Linked DNA regions of Canis lupus familiaris. The protein of the gene in region 7 purifies or fractionates together with the protein of the main gene of each other region. This does not show direct contact. Links are inferred from orthologs where the notes say so. Each region holds a gene or a part of one and is shown on either strand. Other genes may lie near its edges. The genes, in order: SLBP, RBM8A, MOV10, EXOSC2, CASC3, XRN1 and UPF1.

What was found.
Region 1: the proteins of UPF1 (region 7) and SLBP purify together in Homo sapiens (affinity purification with western blotting; 4 studies listed by BioGRID and IntAct, with this or other methods). This does not show direct contact. The link is inferred for Canis lupus familiaris from reciprocal best matches to the Homo sapiens genes UPF1 and SLBP.
Region 2: the proteins of UPF1 (region 7) and RBM8A purify together in Homo sapiens (co-immunoprecipitation; 7 studies listed by BioGRID and IntAct, with this or other methods). This does not show direct contact. The link is inferred for Canis lupus familiaris from reciprocal best matches to the Homo sapiens genes UPF1 and RBM8A.
Region 3: the proteins of UPF1 (region 7) and MOV10 purify together in Homo sapiens (affinity purification with mass spectrometry; 3 studies listed by BioGRID and IntAct, with this or other methods). This does not show direct contact. The link is inferred for Canis lupus familiaris from reciprocal best matches to the Homo sapiens genes UPF1 and MOV10.
Region 4: the proteins of UPF1 (region 7) and EXOSC2 purify together in Homo sapiens (affinity purification with western blotting; 3 studies listed by BioGRID and IntAct, with this or other methods). This does not show direct contact. The link is inferred for Canis lupus familiaris from reciprocal best matches to the Homo sapiens genes UPF1 and EXOSC2.
Region 5: the proteins of UPF1 (region 7) and CASC3 purify together in Homo sapiens (co-immunoprecipitation; 5 studies listed by BioGRID and IntAct, with this or other methods). This does not show direct contact. The link is inferred for Canis lupus familiaris from reciprocal best matches to the Homo sapiens genes UPF1 and CASC3.
Region 6: the proteins of UPF1 (region 7) and XRN1 purify together in Homo sapiens (affinity purification with western blotting; 4 studies listed by BioGRID and IntAct, with this or other methods). This does not show direct contact. The link is inferred for Canis lupus familiaris from reciprocal best matches to the Homo sapiens genes UPF1 and XRN1.

The regions. Positions count from the first base shown.
Region 1 is NC_049224.1:62,917,211-62,921,469, forward strand, and holds the start of SLBP (histone RNA hairpin-binding protein), read left to right. Parts: upstream 1-1,459; 5' UTR 1,460-1,579; coding exon 1,580-1,638; intron 1,639-1,737; coding exon 1,738-1,854; intron 1,855-4,259. UniProt on the Homo sapiens protein: RNA-binding protein involved in the histone pre-mRNA processing.
Region 2 is NC_049238.1:59,380,387-59,384,370, reverse strand, and holds the start of RBM8A (RNA-binding protein 8A), read left to right. Parts: upstream 1-1,184; 5' UTR 1,185-1,246; coding exon 1,247-1,313; intron 1,314-1,588; coding exon 1,589-1,648; intron 1,649-1,771; coding exon 1,772-1,849; intron 1,850-1,990; coding exon 1,991-2,127; intron 2,128-2,468; coding exon 2,469-2,605; intron 2,606-2,704; coding exon 2,705-2,750; 3' UTR 2,751-3,984.
Region 3 is NC_049238.1:63,618,773-63,623,028, reverse strand, and holds the start of MOV10 (helicase MOV-10), read left to right. Parts: upstream 1-1,456; 5' UTR 1,457-1,477; coding exon of another isoform or gene 1,478-1,527; intron 1,528-1,659; coding exon of another isoform or gene 1,660-1,842; intron 1,843-4,256.
Region 4 is NC_049230.1:53,357,402-53,360,901, reverse strand, and holds part of EXOSC2 (exosome complex component RRP4), read left to right. Parts: intron 1-941; coding exon 942-1,118; intron 1,119-1,700; coding exon 1,701-1,829; intron 1,830-2,304; coding exon 2,305-2,385; 3' UTR 2,386-3,500. UniProt on the Homo sapiens protein: Non-catalytic component of the RNA exosome complex which has 3'->5' exoribonuclease activity and participates in a multitude of cellular RNA processing and degradation events.
Region 5 is NC_049230.1:22,374,961-22,379,032, forward strand, and holds the start of CASC3 (protein CASC3), read right to left. Parts: upstream 2,801-4,072; 5' UTR 2,741-2,800; coding exon 2,510-2,740; intron 2,142-2,509; coding exon 2,114-2,141; intron 1,799-2,113; coding exon 1,761-1,798; intron 1-1,760. UniProt on the Homo sapiens protein: Required for pre-mRNA splicing as component of the spliceosome. Core component of the splicing-dependent multiprotein exon junction complex (EJC) deposited at splice junctions on mRNAs.
Region 6 is NC_049244.1:38,642,693-38,646,192, reverse strand, and holds part of XRN1 (5'-3' exoribonuclease 1), read left to right. Parts: intron 1-85; coding exon 86-153; intron 154-443; coding exon 444-581; intron 582-2,306; coding exon 2,307-2,373; intron 2,374-2,578; coding exon 2,579-2,684; intron 2,685-3,500. UniProt on the Homo sapiens protein: Major 5'-3' exoribonuclease involved in mRNA decay. Required for the 5'-3'-processing of the G4 tetraplex-containing DNA and RNA substrates. The kinetic of hydrolysis is faster for G4 RNA tetraplex than for G4 DNA tetraplex and monomeric RNA tetraplex.
Region 7 is NC_049241.1:44,646,267-44,649,326, reverse strand, and holds part of UPF1 (regulator of nonsense transcripts 1), read left to right. Parts: intron 1-536; coding exon 537-618; intron 619-2,205; coding exon 2,206-2,367; intron 2,368-2,501; coding exon 2,502-2,719; intron 2,720-3,014; coding exon 3,015-3,060. UniProt on the Homo sapiens protein: RNA-dependent helicase required for nonsense-mediated decay (NMD) of aberrant mRNAs containing premature stop codons and modulates the expression level of normal mRNAs.

The DNA.
Region 1 (4,259 bases), on a different chromosome or scaffold from region 7:
CTCCATGGCCCTACCCTGAACCACTTGCCTTAACTTTATGCAGCACACCTGCCTCTCAGTTACACACCAGAACCAGGTTCATCTAAGCTGGTTGCAGTCTGTCCTCCAGGCTTCTGAGTCCAGGCTGGCTGCTGGCCCTGTGGTAGTGTCCCCTCTGCACCCCACCAGGCTGCTGTGAGGATGCAGAGAGAGGGGTGCAAGTTCAGGGTGAGAGCACTATGTGGGCTTCCTGGGTGGGGTGGCCCCTACTTAGTTATCTACGCCCCCTCCCCAGAGGTTCTGGACTTCCTGTCGGGCTGGCTTCCATCAACTCCTGTAATTCAGCTGCATGCTTGGCGGGGGGCGGGGGTTGCCTTTCTCCTGGAGGGCATGCACCTCCATGCCTCCTGCTGCCCCAGGAGCCCCGAAAAAGGCCAGGCCTGACTCCTGGCCGGAGATGGGTATTGAGACATCCTACATCCGGACAAGTGCTTTGGGACATAGCACAGGGCCCACCACAGCTCTGCACCTGGAGCGGAATGACGTGCCTCTTCCCCATTCCTGGTGGCCCATGGGGAGGGCAGGAATAGCCCGGCCCACGTGGCTGTGGGTGTATGTGTGCGGGGGCTCACGCGTGGGGCCCTAAGCCGCGCTCCCCCCTCCCCCCCCCCCCAGCTGTTGTGTCCGCTGAGGTGAGGGACCCAGCTGGCGGCCATCGGGGCGGGGCCGGCAAGCCCAGCCCCAGCCCCGGCTCACGGGCTGCCAGAGGAGGCCGGGTCGGGTTATTTTTACTACTAGGGAAAGTTTTATAAAGGGGAATTTATTGTAGCTGAGTGCGACGGTTCTTAATAAATGTTCGTCTGAAGTCCGTACTGGAATGTCCTGTCTTTCCTGATCCTCGCCCTGGGCCCGGGAGAAGCCAACTGGGAAGTGAAGCGCCGTGGTTATGGCTGCTGCAGGCGAGGCGGGCGGCTTCGGCAGGGAAACCAGGGCAGCTGCCGCCGCAGGGCCTAGGCACCGGGACGCCCCTTCCGGGTCCTCCCCTTCCGGGTGCCCGTTTCCCGCTTGCACGGAAGGCTCGGCCAATCAGGCGCGCGCTCTCTCCTCGGCCCCGCTCAGCGCCTGCGACGCGCGCGTGTCCGAATCTCCCGCCAAGGCCCCTTCCCCTCCCCACGCCCTGCTCGCGGAGGCTGCGGCCCGGGCCGTCCCAAGGCTTGGGGGTGGGGGGCACCGTTCCTCGGGCCTCTTCTGGCTCGGCCGTCTCCCGGAAGGCCGTGGCAGCGCTGCGGTCCCTGTCCCCGCGCGGAGCGCGCGCCGCCGCCTGGGCCCCCCCCGCCGGCCTGGGCCCGATGGTCTCGCCCACCGCTGCGCGCGGGAGCTCCGAGGGGCGGGGCCGCCGGCACATAAAGGCGGTTGGGGGCGGGGCGCGCGCGCAGAGCCTGTCAGCGCCGGCGCGGGAGAGGACGCTGCCCCCGCTGCTGCCCCCGCCGCTGCCCCCGCCGCTGCCCCCGCCGCTGCCCCCGCCGCTGCTGCCGCCGGCCCTGGGACCGCCGCCTGAGGACCCCGCCGCCGCCCGAGGACCCCGCCGCCGCCGCGCTCGATGGCCTGCCGACCGCGAAGCCCTTCCGGGTGCGGGAGCCGCCGCGACGGCGACGCCAGGTGAGGCGGACCGCGCGCCCCGGGGCGTTCCGGGCGGGCCGAGGGGTGGGGGGTGTCCTCGCGGCCGGCCTTACCCCTGACGCGGCCTCTCGTCTGCAGCCCGCCGACCCCCGCCAGATGGAGCCTTGGACGGAAGCGCAGAGCCGACGGGAAGCGCAGGAAGCCCGAGGACGCCGAGGGCCCAGTGAAGCCCGAGGGCGACGGCAGGCCCGACAGGTGGGCCCGGGGCGCTGCGCAAGCTGGGGGTCTGGGGCGCTAGTGATGGCACTGGGAGGGAGGGAGGCCCTCATCCTGGCTTCTTGAGGCGCCTGGGGGCCTGCAGCGGGCTAGCGATGGCGCCGGGGGTGGGGGTCCTCATCATGGCTGCTCGAGGTGTCGCGGGGTGGGGGTTCTCCTCCTGGCTGCTCGAGGCGACTCGGGGTTAGGGGTCTCTGTGTGGCTGATTAAGTAGATGGGGTCTGCACTCGGCTGGTTGAGGCGCCGAGGGTCCCTACTTGGTTGCTTAAGGAGATTGTGGCTCACCACCTGACTGGTAGAGGCCCCCAAAGATTCTCATCCGATTGGTAAAGGTGCCCGGATTCCCCACTTGTCTTGTTAAAGAGGCTGTGGGTTACTACCCAACTGGTTAAGGCCCCTGGAGAGTCCACACCCAGCTGGTTAAAGTGATTGTAGGTCCCCACCCAACTGGTTAAGGAGGCTGCGGCCCGCACCCCACTGATTAAGGTGCCCAAGGATCCCCCACCCAGCTGAAGAGGCTCTGGGTCCCCACTTGGCTGGTTAAGGTGTCTGGGGGCCCCCACCCGACTGGGTAAAGACGCCTGGGAGCCCCAGCTGACTGGTTAAGGCGCCTGTGGGCCCCTACCCGATTGGTTATGGAAGCTGTGGGTGGCCTCCCTGACCACTTGTGGTGTCTGTGGCTCAACATCAGTTGATTGATCAAGGTGCTTGTGCGTCACAGCACCTCACTAGTTATAGGGCCGCTGCCTCACAACACTTGGTTAGTCGTGGTGCCTGCTGGTCTCTGTATCTGACTAGTTAAGGCCCCTGTGCTTCAAATGCTTGGCTAATTAACAAGCCTGTGTCTTCTGACATTTGACTATTAAGGTACTGACATGTCATGTGATGTGGTTGAAGATGTCATGAAGGTCTCTAGTGACAGGTGTCAACGGGAGCTGGTCTCAGTGAGTGAGCCTTCTTGGGTTTTTGGGACAGCGTGGGAGGCTGCCCTGAATTTCCTAGAATGTTTCAGTGCAGCTCGTCAGGTTGGTCTCCTGAAGAATCAGTTTAAAGATAGTCATCCCACAGTCAGAAAAGGCGTCTGTATGCAGAATGCAAACTGGGTTTAAGTTCCGCTTTCCTTTTCCCTGTGGCGCTCCCTGGCACTTTCTCTCCGAGGAGCCTTTGCTGCAGCATTCCTGTGAGCTCTTTATTCGGTGATGTGCTGGGGAGGCTAGGACACTGTGCGAACCCCACCCCCGTTTTCTTGTCTCTGTACTCTGATGTGGGTGGCTCCGCTACTCATGGGACAAGGAACCGTTGAAGAAAACCAGGGGCAGTGGTGAAGTCCACGGGCAGGGAATGCCTCTGTTGGCAACCGTTGTGTGGTGACCAGGTGACGATCAGAGTCTGTGTGCCAAGCCCCTCAACAGGGGACATGATTGGCCTGTCTGAAGCCTGACTTAAGGACAAGGGGAAAGGGAGGTGGGGAAGAATGTGTGGTGCACACTAGACTTTTTAGGACAGTTCTTACACTTGCTCATGGGGCAGGGCCGGGGTTCAGAGAGGGGTCTAGGATAACTGTGTTTCACTCTAAACACCTTTGTTCCTTGTGGGACCATTTGCTAAGATGAAGAGGGTGGGGGTAGAGCAGACATGGCATGGGGAAGGCATTGGTAGTTAATGAGGCTTGAGTTTGGATGCAGAAGTGCTCACGTTCTGCATGAGTGGGACCTCTCAGCGCATAGTTCAGCCTTTTGGAGATTTGGGGCCAGAAGATATATGTGGGAAGAGATGCAGAGTGTGGGAGACGGTCTGGACGGTGCTGGAGCTGGATGTTAAGAGAAGCCATTAAACACCATTGAGATAAAGATCTGAGTCTTCAGGGGTCTCCCGTTTAGCTGAGGAGAAAATGTTAAATCCTTACATTGCTTTAGAAGTTTCTTGTATCCCTGTAGGTACCCCTCTAGCTCAGTAGTTAGCCACACAGGTCTCCTTACTCATCTACAGTGGCAGCAATGCCTTTGGCTCTTGCTTTTGGCTCTGTGGGTAGTGCTTGTCTGCCCCGTCTACTGTGGTGGTGCCCGGGAGATGCATAGAGATACCTGCAGGAGAGCCCGGTGCATTTCTATTGCAGAATGTGGGTACTTTCCCTGAAAGGACTCCTCTGCTAAGGCGTAGGATAAGTTCGTGAATACAATGTGCTTACTCTAAAAAACACGGGCTTTAGTTCTACAAGAGGTATTTTCTATCGTTGTATGAGAAAGTTTGTGATGTAGTGGAAGGTCATTTGTAAGCTCCTTTTAAGAGTTCAGGATCCTTTCGTGGCCCAGACCTGAGCCTCGTGGTCCGCTAGTGAGGTCCAGCTTTGGACAACCCTCCATTTGGTTCCTCTGTAGCTGGGA
Region 2 (3,984 bases), on a different chromosome or scaffold from region 7:
ACTGCCAGCACCTTCTCTAATACTAGGTACACACATTATAACTGTTCGATTAAAAAATAATATGAAGGGGATCCCTGGGTGGCGCAGCGGTTTGGCGCCTGCCTTTGGCCCAGGGCGCGATCCTGGAGACCCGGGATCGAGTCCCACGTCGGGCTCCCAGTGCATGGAGCCTGCTTCTCCCTCTGCCTGTGTCTCTGTCTCTCTCTCTCTGTGTGACTATCATAAATAATTAAAAATAAATAAAAAATTTAAAAAAATAATATGAAAACCTGCAGTCCACTATTGCTGAAGGCCTACATCAGGATTCCGAACTTTGCGGGCAATATGGGTCTTGAAACACGAAATACCTACACCATTCCCAAAGAAGCCGGAGTCCCCATTTTGTTGAAAGTCCCCATTTTGTTGAAAGCCATTAATTTTTTTTTTTCTTTTAAATTCCTGGAGGTGGTGGGAAGAGTTTGAGAGTTTATCTTTAAAAAAAAAGCGGGGGGGGGGAGGGGTAGGATCCCTGGGTGGCTCAGCGATTTGGCGCCTGCCTTTGGTCCTGGGATCGAGACTCGCGTCGGGCTCCAGGCACGGAGCCTGCTTCTCCCTCCTCCTGTGTCTCTGCCCCTCTCTCTATGTCTATCATAAAATAAATAAATAAATCTTAAAAAAAAAAAAAAGGCAGCCGATAGCCGTCTCAGCAATCCTAATTCACAAGATTAGCTTCCTTAAGAGAAATTCGCCGCTGCAGTACGAGCCAGACTCGGCTTTTTGAGCTAGCATTGCTGAATGAACTATTTTAAAAATGTTTCCATCACAGACCCAGCTAGCTGCTCCTCAAAACAGGTTACGGGTCTAGAAGTTTTGAGAGAGAAAAAAAATTCAACTTCCATTTCCTATGGAGTCCAAGGAGACAGAAAACAATCCTCTAATAGAGAAACTGGGCTGTGCTTCGCTGACTACAGTATTTCTCCTTGGTTGCCCTAATTAATAGGAAGCCGCTGCCTGCACCTACCCACTAGCTTGTCCCTTAGAGCACCACTCCATTCAGCTCGCCACCTGCTCAAGATGGCTACAGGAGCACTTCCGACATCTTCCGGAACTAGGCCCGCCTTCTTTTGCGTATTTTCACCGCGCCGGGGGCGGGACTTAGATTTAGCTTCTGATTGGTCAGCTTGACTAGTGACCTTTCCCCTCCGCGACAGTTTCCCGAGGTGCCTAGTGCCTGAGCGGCACCGACGAGAGTAAGAAGGCAGGCAAGATGGCGGACGTGCTGGACCTTCATGAGGCTGGGGGCGAGGATTTTGCCATGGATGAAGATGGGGACGGTGAGGACAGTGGAGGCAGCTGCGGGAAGCCGGGAAGGTGCGAAAGAAGGGAGTAATAGGAAAATAATTGCCCTTCCCGGCAGGGCGGCTGGGAGTAGAACTGAGTTTCGATTGGATTAGAGACTGCGCCCCCTTCGGGAGGAATGGGGGCGGGACCGGGAGGGAAATGGGACTGGAGGTGGTGGGGCTGCTTTCAGATAATGCCTCCGTAAAGAGACTATTGTTGTAAATACCTGTTATTTTTGTTATTCATTCTTTCACTTCTGGGGATCCAGAGAGCATCCACAAATTGAAAGAAAAGGCAAAGAAACGGAAGGGCCGCGGCTTTGGCTCCGGTGAGTGTTTGTGGGGAAAATGGTGTAGAATGGCGACAGCTACGAGTTTTGGAGTCCCCATTCACACTCATGGGGAACAGTGGTAGAAGAGATTTCTGGTGATCTCTTGTATGTTCCATATAGAAGAAGGGTCTCGAGCGCGGATGCGTGAGGATTATGACAGTGTGGAGCAGGATGGAGATGAACCCGGACCGCAACGCTGTAAGTGAGATGGACACTAGTGTATTATGGACCTATGAAATAAAACCCAGTAGGAGTGGGGTCGGAGATACCTTAATCCACTCTTGTGATCTTGCTTGAAGTTTTTCTTTTGTGCACAAACCTCCTTCCCTTCCCCAACAGCTGTTGAAGGCTGGATTCTCTTTGTCACTGGAGTCCATGAGGAAGCCACCGAAGAAGACATCCATGACAAATTTGCAGAATATGGGGAGATAAAAAATATCCACCTCAACCTGGACAGGCGTACAGGATACTTGAAGGTATCCTACTGTTGTTGCCTCTCTTCCCTCACAACCTTTAGACAGCTTTGGTAGTTCTCCCATGTTTTCTCTGATTGGCCAAAGAGCAAAGTTGAAATAAATGAGATTGAAAATTGATTTTGAAAAAAAAAAAAAAAAAAAAAAAGAAAATTGATTTTGTCAGACACAGCAAAGAGATGGAAACATATTTTGAATATATACACAGTAAGGATATATGATGTACATCTGTTGTATAAAGTCTATAGATATTTCTATTTGAGTATGAGTTTAGATCTGAGGAAGAAGATGCTCAGTAGTGTTTGGAATATGAGGGTTTTGATCTGTCTTTTCACTTATCCCAGGGATATACTTTAGTTGAGTATGAAACATACAAGGAAGCCCAGGCTGCTATGGAGGGACTCAATGGCCAGGATTTGATGGGACAGCCGATCAGTGTGGACTGGTGTTTTGTTCGGGGTCCGCCAAAGGGCAAGAGGAGGTAAAGTGGAGAGGGCAAACTATCTTGGTGAAGGGAACATGAGCAGAACAGAATAAGGACATTGTATTATGTTCCTGATGGACCCTTCCTTTTCCCTAGAGGTGGCCGAAGACGCAGCAGGAGTCCAGACAGGAGGCGGCGCTGACAGGTCCTCTGTTGTCCAGATGTTCTCTCCAGAGATTCTCTTTGACCATGCAGCCTTGGAGAAATAGGGCTGAGGTGGAACTCACTGTTTATATTTAATCTCTTATCCTACTTAGTGGGGTTTTTTTTTTTGAATTATGAATAAATGTCCCATTTTTTGTTTTGTACATTTAAAATTACTTTCCTTTTCTAACATTGCAAGCTCTGAAGCATTATTTACAGTAAGGTAGTATGGGTCACTATGAGGATACTTCTAAGGACTCAATTCTGTGTGAATTTCTACATTAGATATCTCAAGTCTCAGAGTCAAAGTATTTCTTTTTCTTAGAAGCTAAGAGAGCAGGGGTAGAAGTGAGGTGTTATAAAAGCTTAGTTACTTTGTTCCTGTATACTCTGTCTGAGCAAATGGATGTTATAGGAATGTCTCTTGTTTCTCCTGTCCTTTCTGTTGCCACATTTGTTTGTACTTCCAGCTGTCTAAGGGTTTGCATTTCCTGTCAGGGCATTCTCTCAGAATCTTTTTTCCTTAGAAGAGTCTATACTGAGTTCTTGGTGCCTTCTTTGACAGCCAAGGGTAAAGGCCCCATAGAAGAGAGGATACAGAGGAGCATTGAGAAGGCCGAAAAGGAAAAGGATGTGGCTGAGGCTGAGGCTGGGGGGGGACTTCATTTAGCATGGTGGGAGAGAACCAGTACCACAGGCCCAGTAGGTAATAAGGTGTCCGGCAGAAGACGAAGGTCAGCAAGACCAGCAGGGCCAGTCGCAGGGCCTGCAGACGTACACAGGAGCGGTTGTCTAAGGAGCGGCGGAGGGCAAATTCACTGGCAGGGGCTGGGATTTTAGAAAACATACTCAAATTCAGAATCACTCAGTTTCTGAATTGAGTGTAGGGTGAACAGATGAATAGGCAGAGATGATGAGCTGGAGCTCTCCTGATACAGGGAAGAGGATATGACAAATAGGTGGTAATGCTGCAAATCCTCTTCTTCCCCAACTGGGAATATATGCTCTCCCCCCCGCCTCAGGGATTATGACAGACATGCTGGAGAAGAGGTTTTGATTGAGGTGTGGTGTTCTATGAAGCTACTAAGTCTACTTGAAGACTTGATGGTGTCTAAGACTAAAGCAGAATACTAATCACCTTTCTCCTTAATCCTTGCCCAGCTAACTCAGCTTCAGAGGGTGGCTAGAGGCTGGTTAGAATTGAAGGCATTTAGAAAATACTGGCAGCATCA
Region 3 (4,256 bases), on a different chromosome or scaffold from region 7:
AGCCATGTGTGAAAATAATTAAAACCCCATGTGTGAATTGTAGTTTTCTAGATGAGACTGGTTTAGAGAAGTTCCACTGTAAACACAGCCACATCACGTTTTTACTCAAGTTGGTTATGTACTATGGCTGTTTGCATTGTTGCTTATTTTGGTAATGTCTAGGACATGGGCCTCACCAGGAAGCGGAGGGGTGGGGGCGCATTCAGGATCCAGGAGTAATGAGGACTTAGATCTGTGTATCAGAATGGAGCTAGACATTCAGTGTGGGTGTGGTGGATGGAAGGTTTTTGAAATAACTCCTGCTCAGACCCACCAGGTAATTGCAGACAAAAAGGGTAAAAAGGGACTATCTTCCTAGTGTTTTCCTCTACTTTGCACAATCAATTTCTAAGACATAAATTTTAAGAACTTCCCCATTCGCTTTGGTTCCTACTGACTTTGCATTTCCTGTTGCTAAAATCTGTTATTCCTGGCTTTGGTTGGTTGTTGGCCTGGGAGAAGGCACAAGAGTTGCCCAGCTGGAGCGTGGCCTGGGTTCTGGACATTCCTCACCCTGGGTTAGGTTGAGTGTGTGGCCTCCCACCGGGCACTACTTTGGAGGACAACACTACCTTTGATATATTTGTAACTCTGGTATATTTTTTTTTTAAATTTTTTATATAACTGTTATTATCTTTGCCCCATTCTAGTGTGTGTGTTCTTGTTACGAGGGAGCACACACAGATGCTGAGGCTTGTTTTGTGTTTCTGGTAGGAGCCCCACCCCCTTTAGTTTGCTTAATAGTCAGTCTTCCGAAGCGCGCTGCTCTTTCACTTCTCTTCCTGGTACTGATGCTGTAGGTATTAACCAGTTACTGCCTCACAGAAGAGCCTCTCGCTCTCAGGCTGGCATGATGACTGGGGCAACCCTTGCTAATACACTAGTAACAATTAAAGAGCAACACCGACTGGAATGTAATTAAGTGCCCAAATCTGTAGCTCAAGGGCAGGGATCAGCAGCCCTTCCACTGAAACGAAAGCCTGTGTGGCTGGCAGGGAAAAAGTGATGATGCCTGTCGGTGCCGGCGGAGCCCCCTGTCCCGCCTCCCCCACGTACACACCTTATCTCAGAGACAACTCCCCGCGTCGGAAAGCCCGGGGAGGGGGGAGGGGGGAGGGGGAGGGGGAGGGGGCGTGCCGCTCGCTTCCGCGCTGCTTTCCGTCCCCGGCTGTCTGGGGGAGGTGCTGCAGGACCTGCCCCGGCCCGGCCGCGGCCACCCCGGGCCCCGGCCCCTGCCCTTTGCTCTCCCGCTTTTGCAGAAGTACCGAGGCCCTGGGGGGTAGGCGGGGGAGCAGCCCCGGCGGAGGCTCGGACGTCCTCCCGGGCGGCTCGGGGGCCCCGGGCGGTGGCCGCGACCGCTTTCTGGCCAGAAGCCAGGGGAGGGAGCTTGGGGTAAGGGGAGGGCCCTGAGGGAGGGGTCAGACTCAGGAAAGAGTTAATGCGGGGAGGGGGAGGGGACAGGACGGAGAGACCGGAGGGGAGGCTCAGGTAGGAGGCGGACGCAGGCGGGGAGCCCGCGGGGGAGAGGGGCGCCTGCGGGGCCGGGGGTCGGAGTTGGGGGCTCCCCCGCTCGCCCTCGCCCCGGGGCCGCCAACTTACGTCCGCGGCGGCGACTTTCAGTTTCATTTCCGCGGACCCTCCTGCCTGGGCCGCAGCCGCCGCCGCGATGCCCAGCAAGTTCAGCTGCCGGCAGCTCCGGGAGACGGGCCAGCGCTTCGAGAGTTTCCTGGTCGAGCGGGGACTGGACATGGAGACTGATCGCGAGCGGCTGCGGACCGTTTACAACTGGGATTTCAAGATCAGGTACGGGCCGGCCCGGCCCAGCCCCCGGCCCCGGTGCGCGGGCCCAGCTCGCCGTCACCACCCCCGCCGCGGGCCGCCCTGCCCCGTCCGGCCCCGTCCCCCGCCCCGGCCCGTCCCGCCCCCGGCGCTACCAGCTCCCCCTCGGGCGCGAGCTGCCCGGGGGCGGCGCAGGCTCCCTCCCTCTCTTTGCCCTGCTCCCCCCCTTCGCAGCCGTCCCCCTCTCCCTCCCCCCCTCGCACACCCCCCCCTCCCGCCCCCCGCTTCCTCGCCCCGGCCCGGCCCCCCGACCCGGCCAGGGTGGGACCCGGCGTCGGCCCCGCGCCTCTCGGGGGGGAGGGCGGGCACCCGCGGGCCGCGTGGGAGCTGCCCCTGCTGCGGCGGCCCGGGCGCGCGGGCTCCGCGGGGACCCCCGCCCGCCCCCGCGGAGCCGGAGCCGCAGCCGGAGCCGGAGCCGGGGGGCCTGGCCGACGTCGGGCAGCTGGGCCCGGAGGCGCGGGGCGTCGGCTACGTGCGCGCCAGACCTCCACTGGCACCTGTGGCTCCTCCGTGGAGACCCGGGGCCGGCTCCCGAGGCCCTTCCCGCCGTGGCTGGGGCTGTCGGGCCGCCCCTTCCTGGCAGCCTCCGAGTGCAGGTCAGACGCTCCTCCCTGGAGAACCACAGACTAGTGCCTCGGGGAACACCTATCAACAGGCTGCGGCCGCGGCCCAAAACCACGGCACAGTTTAGCGGGGACGGGCGCGAGGACCCACGCAGGATGCACGCGGGGCGGCGGGGACGTGGGCCTCGCGCCAGCCCCCCTGACAAGGGCTCTGGGTTCAGGCAGACCCGAGGGCGGTCAGGCTGGGTTCATGGAAGGGGCGTGGGGGGCTGCGGGAGGACGGAGTGGCTCCACAGTGATCGGAGCATATCTCGAATTTTTTTTTCTTTTTTTGGTAACGGGTGTCACATTTTAAGAGGGGCGTTAGCAGGCTGGAGCAACACTGGGGAAGGGGCAACGATTATGACCCGTTGGCGCCCTCACCCTGGGCTGGGCACCGTGGGGAATACGAAGAACACCACCGGGCCCAGGGGAGCAGGCGGCTCCAGGAGCATGGGCTCTGCTGCAGACCATATACTATCATAAATGGTAAAGTAACAGGAATAGGATAGAGGTAAGAAACCTGCTGAAGAAGAGTAAGGAAAGAGCAATTACTGTTGAGACACGTTATCAGCTCTGCACATCCTTGAATTCACTTCTGTCCACAGGATGGGAGTCCCGCGGGCCTCTGAACGCAAGTCAACTACTACTTCCGACTCTGTGAGAGAATGTGGTGTTTGTTTTTTGTTTTTTTAATTTTTATTTATTTATGATAGTCACAGAGAGAGAGAGAGAGAGAGGCAGGGACACAGGCAGAGGGAGAAGCAGGCTCCATGCACCGGGAGCCCGACGTGGGATTCGATCCCGGGTCTCCAGGATCGCGCCCTGGGCCAAAGGCAGGCGTAAACCGCTGCGCCACCCAGGGATCCCAGAATGTGGTGTTTGGATGCTTGTTAGACCTGTGCGGAAGACTTGATTTAAGACTCTCGCTGTAGGGTTACTGTAGTAGAGGAGAGAGCTCTACTCCCAACACAGCAACACTGCTGAGAATTGATAGCCAACAGCAGAGTGAGGGGTCAGTGCATGGGAAGTTCCCAAGAGGACACGTGAAGGGGTTGGGGGCAAGGTTGAGGCCTAGTGGAGACAGGGGTTCAGAGGAGCCTGACTAAAGTTTGGCCAAGGAGAGAGTCTTATCATCGTCTCTAAACTAAAGCTACACAATACGTACTATCCAGCCCTGGGGAAGAACAGGCTATATGGTCACTGCATACCCAAAAACGAGATAAAATCTACATTATGGCTGAATTCAAGGGGTCTCCAAAGTTATTTTTACTGTATGCGCTTGTTTTTTATGCAAACAAGGTACCACTTCCCCTCATGATTATTAGAGAATTTTATGTTTTCTTATGCTAATACCGTACCACCCCTCTGTAATTAGGGAATTCATGGAGAAGGTGGCACTGACCGGGGCTTTGGATTTGAAGATTTAAGGTAGTTTCAGCCCTCAGAGGAGAAGGAGGAGAAAAAGCTTACTTGTTGATTCATAGTCTGTCATGAGATCCAGTCAAAAAAAACCTTAGAGGGGCACCTGGCTGGTTCAGTCGGTAGAACATGCCGCTCTTGATTTTCGGGGTCGTGAATTCAAGCCCCGTGTTGAGTGTAGAGATTCTTTTTTTTTTTTTTAAGATTTTATTTATTTATTCATAAATAATAAATGCAGGACTCAATCCCCAGACTCCAGGATCATGCCCTGGGCAGAAGGCAGGCGCTAAACCACTGAGCCACCCAAGCGTCCCGAGTGTAGAGATTCTTTAAAAAAAAAACAAAAAACCTGAG
Region 4 (3,500 bases), on a different chromosome or scaffold from region 7:
TTGAGCTTAAATGAAATGTCACTGCTTTCTTGTATGAAGTTACATTGAGGCTCTTGCTGTTTTAATGACTGCATACTTCTTTTAAAGATTCACTTATTTTAGCAAGAGAGCATGCACGTGGCGGGGGGGGTGGGGGTTGGGGCAGAGGGAGAGAGAGACAGACTCAGACTCCTCGATGAGCACGGATCCCACAAACCCGAGATCATGACCCGAGCCAAAACCAAGAGCCAGGTGCCGAACCGACTGAGCCACCCCAACGTCCCACGATACCATATTTTCTAAAACAGATTATGATTTATTAGTCTTTTGGCTTTATGTGGGCGAACCTTTTCATTTCCTGAGTGGCACAGAAGCGTGTTTCCTTGTGGAGTGGCTACAGTCACCACACTCACAGCCTTGGAGCAGGAGGTGGAACAGCTGTGCTGTCTTAGCTCACCCTCACAGGCCTGGGTACTGCAGACCTTCCCTCAGCGGGCTGGGGACTTGAGCTGCCCTCCCAGGATCAGGGATGGTTTTGCATCCAGCCCTTGGCCACTCCCCTTGCCCAGTGGCACATAGCACACATTTCAAAGGCACAGTAGGTGACTGGGATAGAGGTGGAACAGAACAGCGCACCTTGGCTCACAAGAGGCTTGGACTCACGTCCTCATGAGCTCCAGCTTCTCCAACTACCAGCACACCAAGCCCAGATTCGAATATAATGCTAAGGGCAGAAGAATGAGAGGAGTATTGAAAGTCACCTTCTCTTGGAGCGCATAAACCACCTCTGCATTCGGAAGTGTTCTCTGGGAGTAATTAACAGTGTGTGTACACCCGGGACTACAGTCATTAATAGGAGTGGCCCTAGTCCTGCCATAACTAGGATGTGTGTTCTGTGGTTTGCTTTTCATGCACTTCACTGATAACCCTTCAGTGACTCGGTTTGTGCCCTCTTTCTTTAGCTGGGCCAGGGAGTTTTGGTCCAGGTTTCTCCCTCCCTAGTAAAACGGCAGAAGACTCACTTCCATGACTTGCCCTGTGGTGCCTCGGTGATTCTGGGTAACAATGGCTTCATCTGGATCTACCCCACACCTGAGCAGAAGGAAGAAGACACGGGGGGCTTCACAGCACACCTGGAGGTGAGTGAGCATTGCCGCTGCCGTCTCTGTACATCTGGGCTCGGTAGGGCTGGCTGTTTGAATTTTTTTATTTTTTAAAGATTATTTATTTGAGAGGGAGAGCGCATGCACAAGTGGAGGGAGGGGCAGAGGGAGAGAGAATCTCAAGCAGACTCCGTGTTGAGTGCAGAGCCTGACGTGCGGCTCTGTCCCTTGACTCTGGGATCATGACCTGAGCTGAAACCTTAACAGCTGGACACTTAACCAACTGAGCCACCCAGGCACCCCCATAGTTGGTTGTTTTAAACCATGTATTTGCTGTAGTCTGGGTTTGAGTCTCCGTTGAGGGGTCTTCATAGCATGATCTGGCCTTCTCTCCTGAAGAGCTAAAATGGAACTGGCTTGATCTCTGTTGGCAGAGGTGGCAGGTTGCAGGGTAATAGCAGCTGAAGAGCCATCCTTTTTAATCTCCCTTGGAGTTAGCAGTTGATTGGTTTGGAGTCCCGGAGGGATCGAGCTGAAGTTATAAACGATTTCTGTGATTTGCTGTGACTGTTCATGGACTTCAGTTCTAATTGTTTACCTTTGCCTCCCCACTGGTAGCCCATCTCCCTCGCCGACCGAGAGGTGATCTCCCGGCTCCGGAACTGCATCGTCTCGCTGGTCACTCAGAGGATGATGCTGTATGATACCAGCATCCTGTATTGCTACGAGGCGTCCCTTCCACATCAGGTACTCCATCCAGCCACGCCTTCACTTGTTTTCATGGATCTGTAAGTTGACAGTGAGTGTTTATGCTCCCTCAGGGATTGCAGGCACATCTCCCAGATACCTTCACCATGTCCAGCGGTAGGAATTGATCTGCTGGACAGCCCTATCAAGTGTCTGGTAGATCTTTCCCCAAGATACTTGTACTGTTCGGGTGTCTAGTGTCAGTCTAAGGATTTGGGGCTCTGCGCTCAGCACAGAGCCTGCTTGGAATTCTCCATCCTTCTCTCTCTGCCTCTTTCCCCACTTGTGCATTCTCTCTCATTCTCTAAAATAAATCTTTATTTTTAATTTTTTTTTAAATAAATAAATCTTTAAAAGAAAATGAAAGGGATATAGAAGGTTTATGGTAACCATGCTTGGTTTCTGCCTCTGGATTGGCTTGATGCTTATGGTTGGTGTCTTTTCTGAACAAATACTTTTTTCTTTTCTTTTTTAGATCAAAGACCTCTTAAAGCCAGAAATAATGGAGGAAGTTGTTATGGAAACACGCCAGAGGCTTTTAGAACAAGAAGGGTGAGGAGAGACATCTGAAGGACAGGACAGTGTGCACCTGACCGGAGCAGTTTGAAAAGTGAAAGTGAAGAATCTGATCTGGGGTCCCATATGTGGCTCTGTGGAGAGCTGTGACACTCATCACTTGACCTACATCAGGCTGCCTCTGGTCCAAAGACCTCCTTTTGGCTATTCTAGGGCAAAGCCTGGGGGAAGTGCTACCAGCCCCTTGGGTCGCCCACAGAGTCCAGCACTAAGGGTAGTTTCAGGCCTTTATTTTTATTTTTCAAAGTTTTGTTATTATTATTCCTTTTTTTTTTTTTTTTAATTAACTTTCAAGCCTTTAAAAGCACACAGTGTTGCAGCCAAATGGACTGCTATTCAGGAATGCTGGAGAATCCTTTTCTTCTACTGACCATCAATTCACAAGGCACAATGCCCCCATGAAATTGCCCCTATAAAAAACACAGCCTCCCTGACCCCAAAATTGTGTTTTGGACTCTGTTCCCCCTCTGCAGCTCAAGTGCAACATTGAAGAATATAGTTAGTAACTTTTTTTGTTGTTGAGACCAAGAGAGCCAGTGGGGATGGGAGGGTTGGGGACCTTAAGCAGGCTCCATGCCCAGTGCAGAGCCAGTGCGGGGCTGAATCTCATGACCCTGAGATCATGACCTGAGCTGAAATCAAGAGTTGGACACTTAACCAACTGAGCCACCCAGGTGCCTGTGTACTTAGTAACATTCAGCAGTAGAATGGAAGAATAAAGTCAACCAAGCAGCCTTTGCTTGGTTAGAATCTCATTTCCCATTGCATGTTCCTTGTAGTGATAGATTCAAGGATATCTACGCCAAGCTGCCTTAATCTGATCTGCCTTTAAGAGTGATTTGTCAGAAGCCGAGTAACTGATGATAGAATAATGTTCAGGGTTCTCTGAGGAACATGAAAACAGACTAAGAAATGCAGATGCGAAAAGAACTCTTTTTTTCCTCCTGTGATTGAAGTAGTAATGCGTTAACTTTGTAATAATTCAGGGTTAAAAACAGGTTGAAGTTCTCCCTGAAGAAAGCTAGAATTTCCTCTGCATTGGTTTTCCTAATGACTGTAGAAATGGTACTCTGATTCAGGTTTGGGAAGCATTTT
Region 5 (4,072 bases), on a different chromosome or scaffold from region 7:
AATAATTCTCAATGTTATTGTGCATAAGCATCAATCCAGGATTTGTTAACATAAATGCCTGAGTCTTCCCTCCCTCTGCAAGATTTTGTTTCAGTAGAACTGGCCAACTGAAAAAAAAAAAAAAGAACTGGCCAACTGGATTTTCTTTTTTCTTTTTTTTTCTTTTTTTTTTTTTCCAACTGGATTTTCTGATGCAGGAGTTCCTTAGTTCTGAAAAACACTTCTTTAAAATTTAAGTCTAATCCATATCACACTTGTTTAAAACCTTGTTATGCTTTCTTACTTCCTTAGAATAAAATCCAAATACATTCTAATCAGGCTTACAAGGTATTTTAAGATTTGGACTCAGACTCATCATTTAGCCCCAGTCACACTAAACTTTTCATATTCTCCAATTTGTCATGCAGTCCATCCCTTCTAGACCTTCTTCCCAAACAGTGTTCCCTCTGCTTAGAATACTGCCTGGCTCACTCCTACTCACCCTTCAAGTCTCTATTTCAACATCCCATCCTCTAAGCGTTTCCAAACAATTCATTGCCCCTGCCATGTGCTTCCAAAGCGCCCTGTGCTTCTGATATCACGACACCAAACATTACTGTAATTACTTGCTTAAAGTTGTCTATTTTTCCCCAGAATGTAAATTCCAGGAGAGCAGAACTATGTTTGTCTTTTATTCTAGTGCCTTGTATAACTCCTGGCATACAGCAGGTGCATAATGAAGAAAAGGAACAAGTAAACCCCTTCATGATCTGATCCCTGTTCACTAATTAGCCTTTATTTCTGGTATCCATCCTAACAATATTCCAGCCACACCAAACTACTTCCAAGTTTCCAAATATTCAGTTTTCTCTCCTGTGTCTGGATTTTCACAGCTGTTGTTCCCTCTGCCTAAAACATGGCCTAACTCCAACTTATTCTCGACGGCCTAAGATGGAGTCAGTACTCAGCCATTAACACCCTGCTTAAGCTTAAGCCTATCCCCAGCAGTTGTCACCAACTCGTAGGACTGCCTGCATGTTTATCTGACTTCCTAAGTCATTCCTAAAGACAGAAATTTTAGTATAGTGTTTGCTGTTGCATCTCCAGGATGTAATGGAAATCTAATATGTAGTAACAGTTCTACAAAACTTACAGAATGAACCTTTGATCCACAATCCAATTCCTCCTGCCCATAACCTCATGACCCAAATTCCAGAAATTAGGACTTTATTCAACCCCAGGAAACAAATAGCATCTCTAGTAGTTCACCTAACCAAAACAAATAAAGTCACAAAAGCTTGGCTTATGGATATTTTCTCCTGAATTTAAGGAGGGAGAAAGCTCCCTAGAAACAGGGATATTTCTGATACAAACAACTCAGGATCCTCTCCTTTTAAGGTCTTCACATACACTTGGAAAAAAAAAAAAATTCAATTAGCTGGTTTCACTTCCTAGCATAAAAGGAACTCTTATTCTGTGAAGGGCTTCAGGATGTTCTCATTCTCTTATTTAGAAACTTATTTTCTTCAGACAGGGTGAAAAGCCAACTACTAACAGTACTAACACATGAAACCTGATGTGGAATGCACCAAACTTCTCTCACTCTAAATAAACAAGACCTTTAATAACAGTTTTTGAGAAACATAAATGAAGAATGCACAAGAGAAATAACAAGGAGGTCATGGTACTTTTGAACCACAGGTGTATACACGTTCTTAAAATACATCAAAAAATTTCCAACCCATATACCATAGGGAAAAAAAAAAGCCTATCACACTCACTTCAGAGTCTTCTGCACTTTCATAATCCGACAGAACAGCTGAAAGGAAACAGAAATATGTAAAGAAAAAAGTTATTACTCACTGCTTTTTGAGTCAAGCTAAGACCCTCGTTCAATTCTGACATCAATCTATCAGAGAGAGAAAATCATAATTCCCAGTTACAAATGGGAAACAGGCTCAATGAGTGATTTGCCCAAGATCATACTGCTAAAACGTAAGCTTGTAGGCATTGTGTTACAAAGAGCCACTCAGTGGTACCCGCCCCCAAATCCTTAACGGTCTGAGAGGATGTCAACTGGTGGAAATAGGTGATGTGAGTTGACGGGCAAAATACTTGTCATGATGTTACTCACCATCGCCCTCGATGCCATCTTCACTCTCCTGAAGGAAAGAAGATGACATGATTTAGTTCCTTGATACCCAGAGGGTGGGGAACTGAAAACTCAACACAAAATGGTTGAAAAGGGAGATGAGAAAAGGTACATCTTTAACAAGTAGCAAACGAGGGAGGTCCGGTCTCTTCACTTCCAGCCCCAATTTCTGAATAAAGATCCTCTTTTCACGTGCAGCGGGTCTGCCCTTCCCCCAGAAACCCCAACACCACCTCCTCCCTCGGGGCTCCGGATGCACACTGCACTGGGATAGCTCTCTTCTCTAACACAATACGCCCCAGCATCTACCATCAACTCCCAGCGTCCCTTCACCACCTACACCCCGCCCCCCGGCCCGGCCCACCCGCGCGCACTCACACATTCCGACTCCTCAGCGCTCTTGGCCCCCCCGCTCTCCACCCGCCGCAGATGAAGGGCTCCAGCTCGGCCTCCGCGCTGGGAAGGCAGAGAGCCGCTGCCACCGCCTCCTGCGCTACCGCTGCAGCTCCCGCCGCCCCGCGCCGGGGAGCCGCCGCTGTCTGAGCCCGAAGCACCAGACTCCTCGTCCTCCGTGTCCTGCGAAGCGCGCTGCCGCCGCCGATCCGCCATCTTACGGAGAACGGCCGTCGCCGGCCAGCTCCTTACGTACCGCGCCCGTCGCAGGGGCTGCCGGGAGGCTCGAGAGCTAATCCCAGCATGCTTCACGTGCGACACGGGCCACCGCGCTTTTCAGGGGGAGGGGCTAGGGGCGGGGCTGCCGCCCTGCGGCACTTTTGCAGGCGAGTGGGATTACGTAATCGGTGACGTACCGGGGGCGTTCCGCGACCCCGTCTTCCCTCGAGTAGGCCCCGGGCGTGGGGAGCTGAGCTCCGGGCAGCCGCCTCCGGTTCCTCGCCCAGCCATCTTGGGCCTTCCGAGTGGAGGGCGCCCACCTGCTACAGCTTCGCTGCGGCATTGGAGCTGTTTCATAGTTTTCTATTTCCGTTTCTCATTTCTACCTACGTTTGAAGCAGATCATTTTACTGCATTCGTTTGCTCGGTAAAATCAGTCAAGGTAAACCTCTAAAGCTGTTGTGATGTATCAGATTTGCCACAGCAGCCCATTTGAAGCTAAAAGGTGAAGGAGAAAGCAATTGTTTGCAGTGAAGCTCGAGGACTTAGTGTTGCATCACTACCATGTTTTTGTTTTCTCATTTCCTCATCTTGTATCTTCCCACCCCAGCTATCACCTCTTCCAAAGTGCAGGCTGGTATGATGCCAGACTCAGCCAAGATTTTGGAACTGATTCTAAAAGAGATGATGATGGGAACAAGCGTTGGTTCAGTATCTTGACATGATTTCCTTCTTAAAGGTTACCAGACCGGTAGATGAGAGGAATGCTTGGGTTTTGGCAAGACATGGTCAACAATGAAAAAAAAAAGTCTTAATTTCTTTGGACCATAATAAATATACTCAAGATGCATAAGCTAAGTGATTAGCATACCTACAGGAGTGCACGTTATTGATATGTATCAAACAGAGAAAGGTCACTATGGCAAAGCACAGGATTCTGTCCTCTGTAGTATTTCTTAAAAACTACATGGCTAAAGATCTGATATTTACCAAATTTATAGACAATATGAAACTAGAAGCCAATCTGAATGCCTTCATAGATAGATTCAGGATCTAAAAGGATCTCAACTAGTTAAACAAGGGGCCAAATGTGACAACTTGTAAATCCAGCTCCAAAACCCAGCTGCCAGAGTTCAAATGGAGGATGTATGATTTAATAAGTGTTGGAAAGAAAGGAAGATCTGGAGGATCTTTTCTATCATAAGGTAAATTGATGCAAATGAAGCTGCCAAGTTTAGTGTCTAAATAAGGAAAGCGATAACCTGCCACTTTACCTTTCAGTTGTTTGGTCTGGGTTCAATTTTTAAATGAATACAAGCAATTTGTTCA
Region 6 (3,500 bases), on a different chromosome or scaffold from region 7:
ATATTTTGTAAAAAAGAATTTTGTAGAACTGTTTAGAAAAAATAGTGTCAGCTTTTAGTACAAATTTAGATTTTGTTCCTTTTAGGTTATATTAATGAAAGTGGGCATCTCAACTTACCTCGATTTGAGAAATACCTTGTGAAACTATCAGACGTAAGTAACTAGATATTTTTATTTTCTTGTCCCAGGGTAGCTATAAATGGGCAGAAACCAATTATATCAGAAGAAAAAGTTTTGGTACTTTTACATCAACTGATCCTTCTGTATAATTTCACCTAAATTACTTTTATTTTTATTTGCTTTTTATTTTTGATTTTCAGCCCATAAGAGAGTAACATTCTTTGATTTCTTATGCCCTAGAAGTAGCAACTGTTAAAAGTTTGGTTTCTATTCTTCCAGACATACTTAAATTATTTTTAATGAATTTAAATATTTTTGTACAGTTTGATCGGGAACACTTCAGTGAAGTTTTTGTGGACCTAAAGTGGTTTGAAAGCAAAGTTGGTAACAAGTACCTCAATGAAGCAGCAGGTGTAGCAGCAGAAGAAGCCAGGAACTACAAGGAAAAGAAGAAGTCAAAGGTGTCCATTTTTTTAGGTGTTCTTTCATTTTTCTAGCTGTAAAGTGAAACTGATATTCCTTGTTCCTCATTTCCCTCTTGTGATTTTTGGAGTTGCCTCATTTCATTTTCATTTCTTATTTTCTTCTATTGAACATTTGAAAAAAATTTTTTTTGTTTCTTCTCTGTTAGATCCTGTTACTTAAAGCTGATTTTTAAAAATCAGCTTCTTATTTTTATCCTAGAAGAAAAGCATTGTGTTTTCATCCTATTAATAAGTGTAGAAAATCTTCTAAATATAAGAACCTAGAAAATTAATTATCTTTTGTAAAATATGTCTACTTCTAACATTTAATATTGAGATAGCAATTAGACCTGTGGTTTTTCTTCAGAAATAATTTATATAAGGCACCCCGGGTGGCTCAGTGGTTTAGTGCTGCCTTCAGCCCAGGGCATGATCCTGGAGTCCGGGATCGACTTACACGTCGGGCTCCCTGCATGGAGCCTGTTTTTCCCTCTGCCTGTGTCTCTGCTTCTCTCTCTCTCTCTCTCTCTCTCTTTCTCTGTCTCCCATAAATAAATAAAATCTTTAAAAAATAATAATTTATATATAAAGTCATTTATGAAATACAGCTATAGGCTAGTTTAAGAGTAAGTAATAGCACAATAGCTAATAAATGCTAGGTGCTCAATAAATAAATAGTAGAATCAGAATATGCTAGTACCCTACGAAATATCACTAATGAGCTCTAAAGAATGTCTTGTATGTGTTAACTTGGGAAATAGACCTTTTCTGAAATTTTCCTCAGCTTATTTGTAATTATTGGGTTCAGATAAAATTGAGGAATTTTCTATACTCTCCTTGCTATATTGGTTCTTTTTAGGTTCAAAGCTAGTAACTCTTGCTCCATGAAGGGCATTTATGCTGATTTTCATTAGAGTAGTCCTTCTAATTGATTAGTTTTTCTCAGTGAAACTAAGGAGCAGTCCGTCTACATTCTTCTTTGTTTTTTCTCTTATAGAAACAGGCTCAGCAACTTTTTAGGAATCTATACTTTACTCACAAAACTTACACATCAGTAATCCCTGGCTCCACCCGTCTTAGCCCAGTCCTTAAGCTTCACAAGTCTTCAGGCATATGTAGTTACTGTTAGAGATACTGGCAAAATGAGGGAAACTAGAGGAAGAGCCGAAGCACAGGAAGTTAGCAAAGACCCTAGTTTGGATGAACAAAGGGAAATGGGGATAAGGGAGTAGGAAGAACTAAGTCACTGTCGATAGATAGGCAATCAGAAAATAGAGGAAAGAAAAGTTGAGATCACAAGGGAGGAAAAGCAGATGGGCAGGATATAAAGAATGTGATGAGATGGGATAAATATAGAAAAGCAAATGCATTGCATGAGAGAAAAAATTTAGAAGTAGAGAATAGAAAACATGTAATGTTTGTAACCTTTGGATTCAATCATGAACAAATAGATTATATTAACACAATAGATGAGAAATACCTATTACATATTTTAGAGCAGCCTAAATGTTAAGTTCTGCATAATAAAGATTTAGAAAAGAAGTGCTACAAAACCGAAAACATTTATACAGTACTTGAGGATTATTTTTTGAATGAACTTTTACAGTGTTGTCACTTAAGGATCATTCAGTCCTTTGTAGTATTTTTTAAATATCCCAGTTCAATGTCTTACTTTGAAATGTATCTTTGCATTAATTTTATATTGATTTATAATTTTTGTAGGGCCAGGAAAATGCCATATGTTGGGCTGCTTTAGACAAAAATGGAGAAGAAGTGGTAACTTCTAAGGGTGAGTACAAACTCTATTCGTTGTGTTATTTTTTTGACAGAATAGTCATTGTATCTTTCCTTAGTAAGCACTGATTTAATAATATTAGATGGAACAGATTTCTGTGTTAGTTTATAAGCATCTGCTTTGATATGTATTTATCAAAGAGATAGGTGGAAAAACAAAATATTTGTAATTGTCAGCCACTTTCTGACCTTTTTTCCAGATAATTTAGAAGATGAGACTGAAGATGATGACCTGTTTGAAACTGAGTTTAGACAATATAAAAGAACATACTACATGACGAAGATGGGAGTTGATGTAGTATCTGAGTACGTTTTTAACCAATGCTTTAACTTTTTTATTTTTAAAGATTTTGTTTATTTATTCATGAGAGACAGAGAGAGGCAGAGACATAGGCAGAGAAGAGAAGCAGGCTCCATGAAGGGAGCCTGATGTGGGACTCAATTCTGGGACTCCAGGATCATGCCCTGAGCCGAAGACAGACGCTTAACTGCTGAGCTACCCAGGCATTCTGCTTTTACTTTAAAATAGAAAAAAATAGATTTTTTAGATTTAAATCTAAAATTAGATTTTTTTTTTTTAAGATTTTATTTATTTATTCATGAGAGACAGAGACAGAGAGAGAAGCAGAGACACAGGCAGAGGGAGAAGCAGACTCCATCCAGGGAGCCCGATGTGGGACTCGATCCTGGGACTCCAGGACCACACCCTGGGCCGAAGGCAGGCACTAAACTGCTGAGCCACCCAGGGATCCCCTAAAATTAGATTTAAATCTAATTTTAAAATCTAAAAAGTTAGATTTTTTTTTAAGATTTTATTTTTTTATTCATGAGAGACACAGAGAGAGAGAGAGAGAGAGCAGAGACACAGGCCGAGGGAGAAGAAAGCTCCATGCAGATAGCCCAATGCAGGACTCCATCTGGGGACTCCAGGACCACGCCCTGGGCCAAAGGCAGGCGCTAAATCACTGAGCGACCCAGGGATTCCCCTAAAAAATTAGATTTTATTTATCATAATGTCAGCCTTTCAACTGCTATGGTTTTGAAGAAGGTAATGTTAACAGACGTGTTAGATTCCTGTGATAAAAAGTTGGCAAGTAGAAAATGGTTATTTTTGTTTGTTTG
Region 7 (3,060 bases):
ATGGAGGAAGACAGGGTCAGGAACCCTCTTCTCCCTCAGACTGGTGTTCCTAGCACGTGGCTGTGAGCAGTAGCAGGTGTAACCAGCGACCGGTGTGAGCTGAGGCTAGACATGCATGTCCATGTGCACGAGAGTGATGGAGCTGGCCTGTTGTCACAGAGCTCCCCCACCCCAGGTCTCTCAAGTGTTATAAGGCGCTCTCAGACCTGGCCTTTTAGGACACAAAGTCATGAGTGGTGTTTAGGAGTTGGACATAGTGAACCCAGGGTGCTCTAGGGGACTTAGAAGCCATGATGTTGCTTGAGGTGAAGCCTGAACGTATCTATGTTCAGCATCAAAGGTCAGGTCTGTAAAAAAAAAAAAAAAAAAAAGGCCAGGTCTGTGGAGTAGGGTGGGTGAGGCCCAGAGCCCACTGGTCAGCAAGCCCCTCAGGGTTGGCCTAGGCATGGCCTGGGAGGTGGCCGGGCCCTCAGATCTTAAGAGAGTTCATCTTGTGTCAAGGTGATAAATTCCTCACCTATCTAAACCCTCTGCAGGGAGCCCGCTTCATGACGACAGCCATGTATGATGCCCGGGAGGCTATTATCCCAGGGTCAGTCTATGATCGGAGCAGCCAGGGTGAGTCTGCTGCAGGAGGAGGGGTGGGTGGGGTGGGACCACACTGGCCCTGTGCATGTTGATCATTCCCACGCCTGCAGCTTTTGGCCCTATCACTCCTGGGGTGACCTCCCAAGCCTCAGTCCGCAGAAACTGCCTCACAAAGCTCTTTGTTGCCTTCCCTTGTCTGAAATCAGAGAATTGGTTGTCAGTTTCTGAATACAAATTTTTTTCTTTTTAAGAGTTTATTTATTCACGAGAGGCAGAGATATAGGCAGAGAAGCAGGCTCCACGCAGGGGGCCCGATGTGGGACTCGGTTCCAGGTCTCGAGGATCACACACTGGGCCAAAGGCAGCCTCTCAACTGCTGAGCCACCCAGGTGTCCCATAAACCTTTTTTTTTTTTTTTTTTTTAATACCAGAGCTCTGCTTATGGAGGTTTGCAGGCACATACTGCAGCCCTGCCTGTTTGCCCCTGTGCCCCATGCCATAGTGCTCCCTGCCTACCTTGCCCTTTGTGCCTCCACTCAGTGGGGGGGTGGGCACTCCTGCAGCTCCTCCAGGCCACCCATAGCCTCAGTTCTGGTTGCATGGTCCTTCTTGTTTCTGTGTACTCTCTGAGACCACACTTCTGGGTGGGGTCTCTGTCCTGAGGCTGAGCCTTAACCCCTGCTGTATGGAACACCTCCTCTTGCCTGAGCCAGTGTCTAGACGGTTCCCATTCATCTCCCAGGTCCCTGTCTCCTAAGGCCTTTCCCTGCCCTAGCCTCTACAGAGGGTGACTGGCTCACCCAGGTGCTTGGTGCCACAGCCTGCATTTTACACTGAGCTTCATCTCCACCTGGGCTCACTGGCCATCCTGGGGCCAGGTACACCCCAACATTTCCTCTCTTGTGTGAAGTAGGAAAACCCCCTTTCCTTGCCTAGTATTCTGGTTGCTGAGCTCAAGTGACGGATGTCATTGCTACATCCAGTGAGTTGCTAGGTAGGGTGCTCTGGGCCCATCCTTCATCCTTGAGCTTACCATGGGCCCAGATAAGGCACTTTCAGCCTTGGGGGTGGTGGGGGGTGGCGGGGAGCAGATCATAAGGCTTTGCTGTCATGCCTTGGCTCCCTTTGGCTTCCCAGCCCCTGGAGCAGCTGCGTGCAGATGGAGATATGCCTAGCTCTGGGGCTACCTTGGGGCCTTCATCTTCAGTGCCATTCACTGGTCTGTTCACTCGGGTTTTTTCTTGCTTTTGGGTGGTGGTGGAGAGTGGGGTGCAGGTTACACGAATATAAAATTTTCCCTTTTATTTTTTCAGTTGGAAATGCAACTTAGCTTTAGTCTTTTGGATGCTGGTAGGCCGTGATTCTCCTAAGTCCCCTTGGAAAAAAGGCTTGTTCCCAGGAGCCAGCCCCAGAGAGGCTGTCAAGAGTGGGGATTGAATTGTGAGATTCTCTATCAGGTGGCTTTGCTGTAGGGGTACACCAAGAAACACCATGGCACTCAGAGCAGTGACAAGATGAGATTGACATTCCAACTGTTCAAGCTGCCATTTGTGGGGTGGGCAATTGGCTCATTGGCATGTGGTGGGTGACACCTGCTGTCCACCTTGTGTCTTGCAGGCCGGCCCTCAAACATGTACTTCCAGACCCACGACCAGATCGGCATGATTAGTGCAGGCCCCAGCCACGTGGCTGCCATGAACATTCCCATCCCCTTCAACCTGGTCATGCCCCCCATGCCACCACCAGGATATTTTGGACAAGCAAATGGGCCAGCCGCAGGTGAGTGCCAGGTGGCAGCATGTAGGCAAAAAGCACGTTGGTGTTGGAGTTTGTGCACATCTGGGCTTTGGACAGTTGGGTTTGTTGGTTGGATGCTGACCTCCTTCAAGGAACCCTGGACTTCTGTCTTTCAGGCCGGGGTACCCCAAAAGGCAAGACTGGTCGTGGGGGGCGCCAGAAGAACCGCTTTGGGCTCCCTGGACCCAGCCAGACGAATCTCCCCAACAGCCAGGCCAGCCAGGATGTGGCATCGCAGCCCTTCTCCCAGGGCGCCCTGACACAGGGCTACATCTCCATGAGCCAGCCCTCCCAGATGAGCCAGCCTGGCCTCTCCCAGCCCGAGTTGTCCCAGGTGAGCCAGCAGCAGGGAAGTCAGGATGGCCTGGGGGGGCCCTCCACACAAGGACCTGAGCATGGCTCCGCACAGCACCCTCCGTAGGTACACCATGTGGGTGTAAGCTCTAAAACCTGTCGTTCTCTACACTGTCTTAGGCAGTTGGCCTGGGTTACGTATGTTCTTTGGTGAGGTAACCAGTGTGGATCTCCTGCCACTTAGGCTTCACCAGGTTTTCCAGAATCTTCTCTGGAGCAGGTTCTTGAGGCTGGAACAATACATGCACATCTTAGCTCCCAACTTTGTTTTTCAGGACAGTTACCTTGGCGATGAGTTTAAGTCACAGATTGATGTGGCAC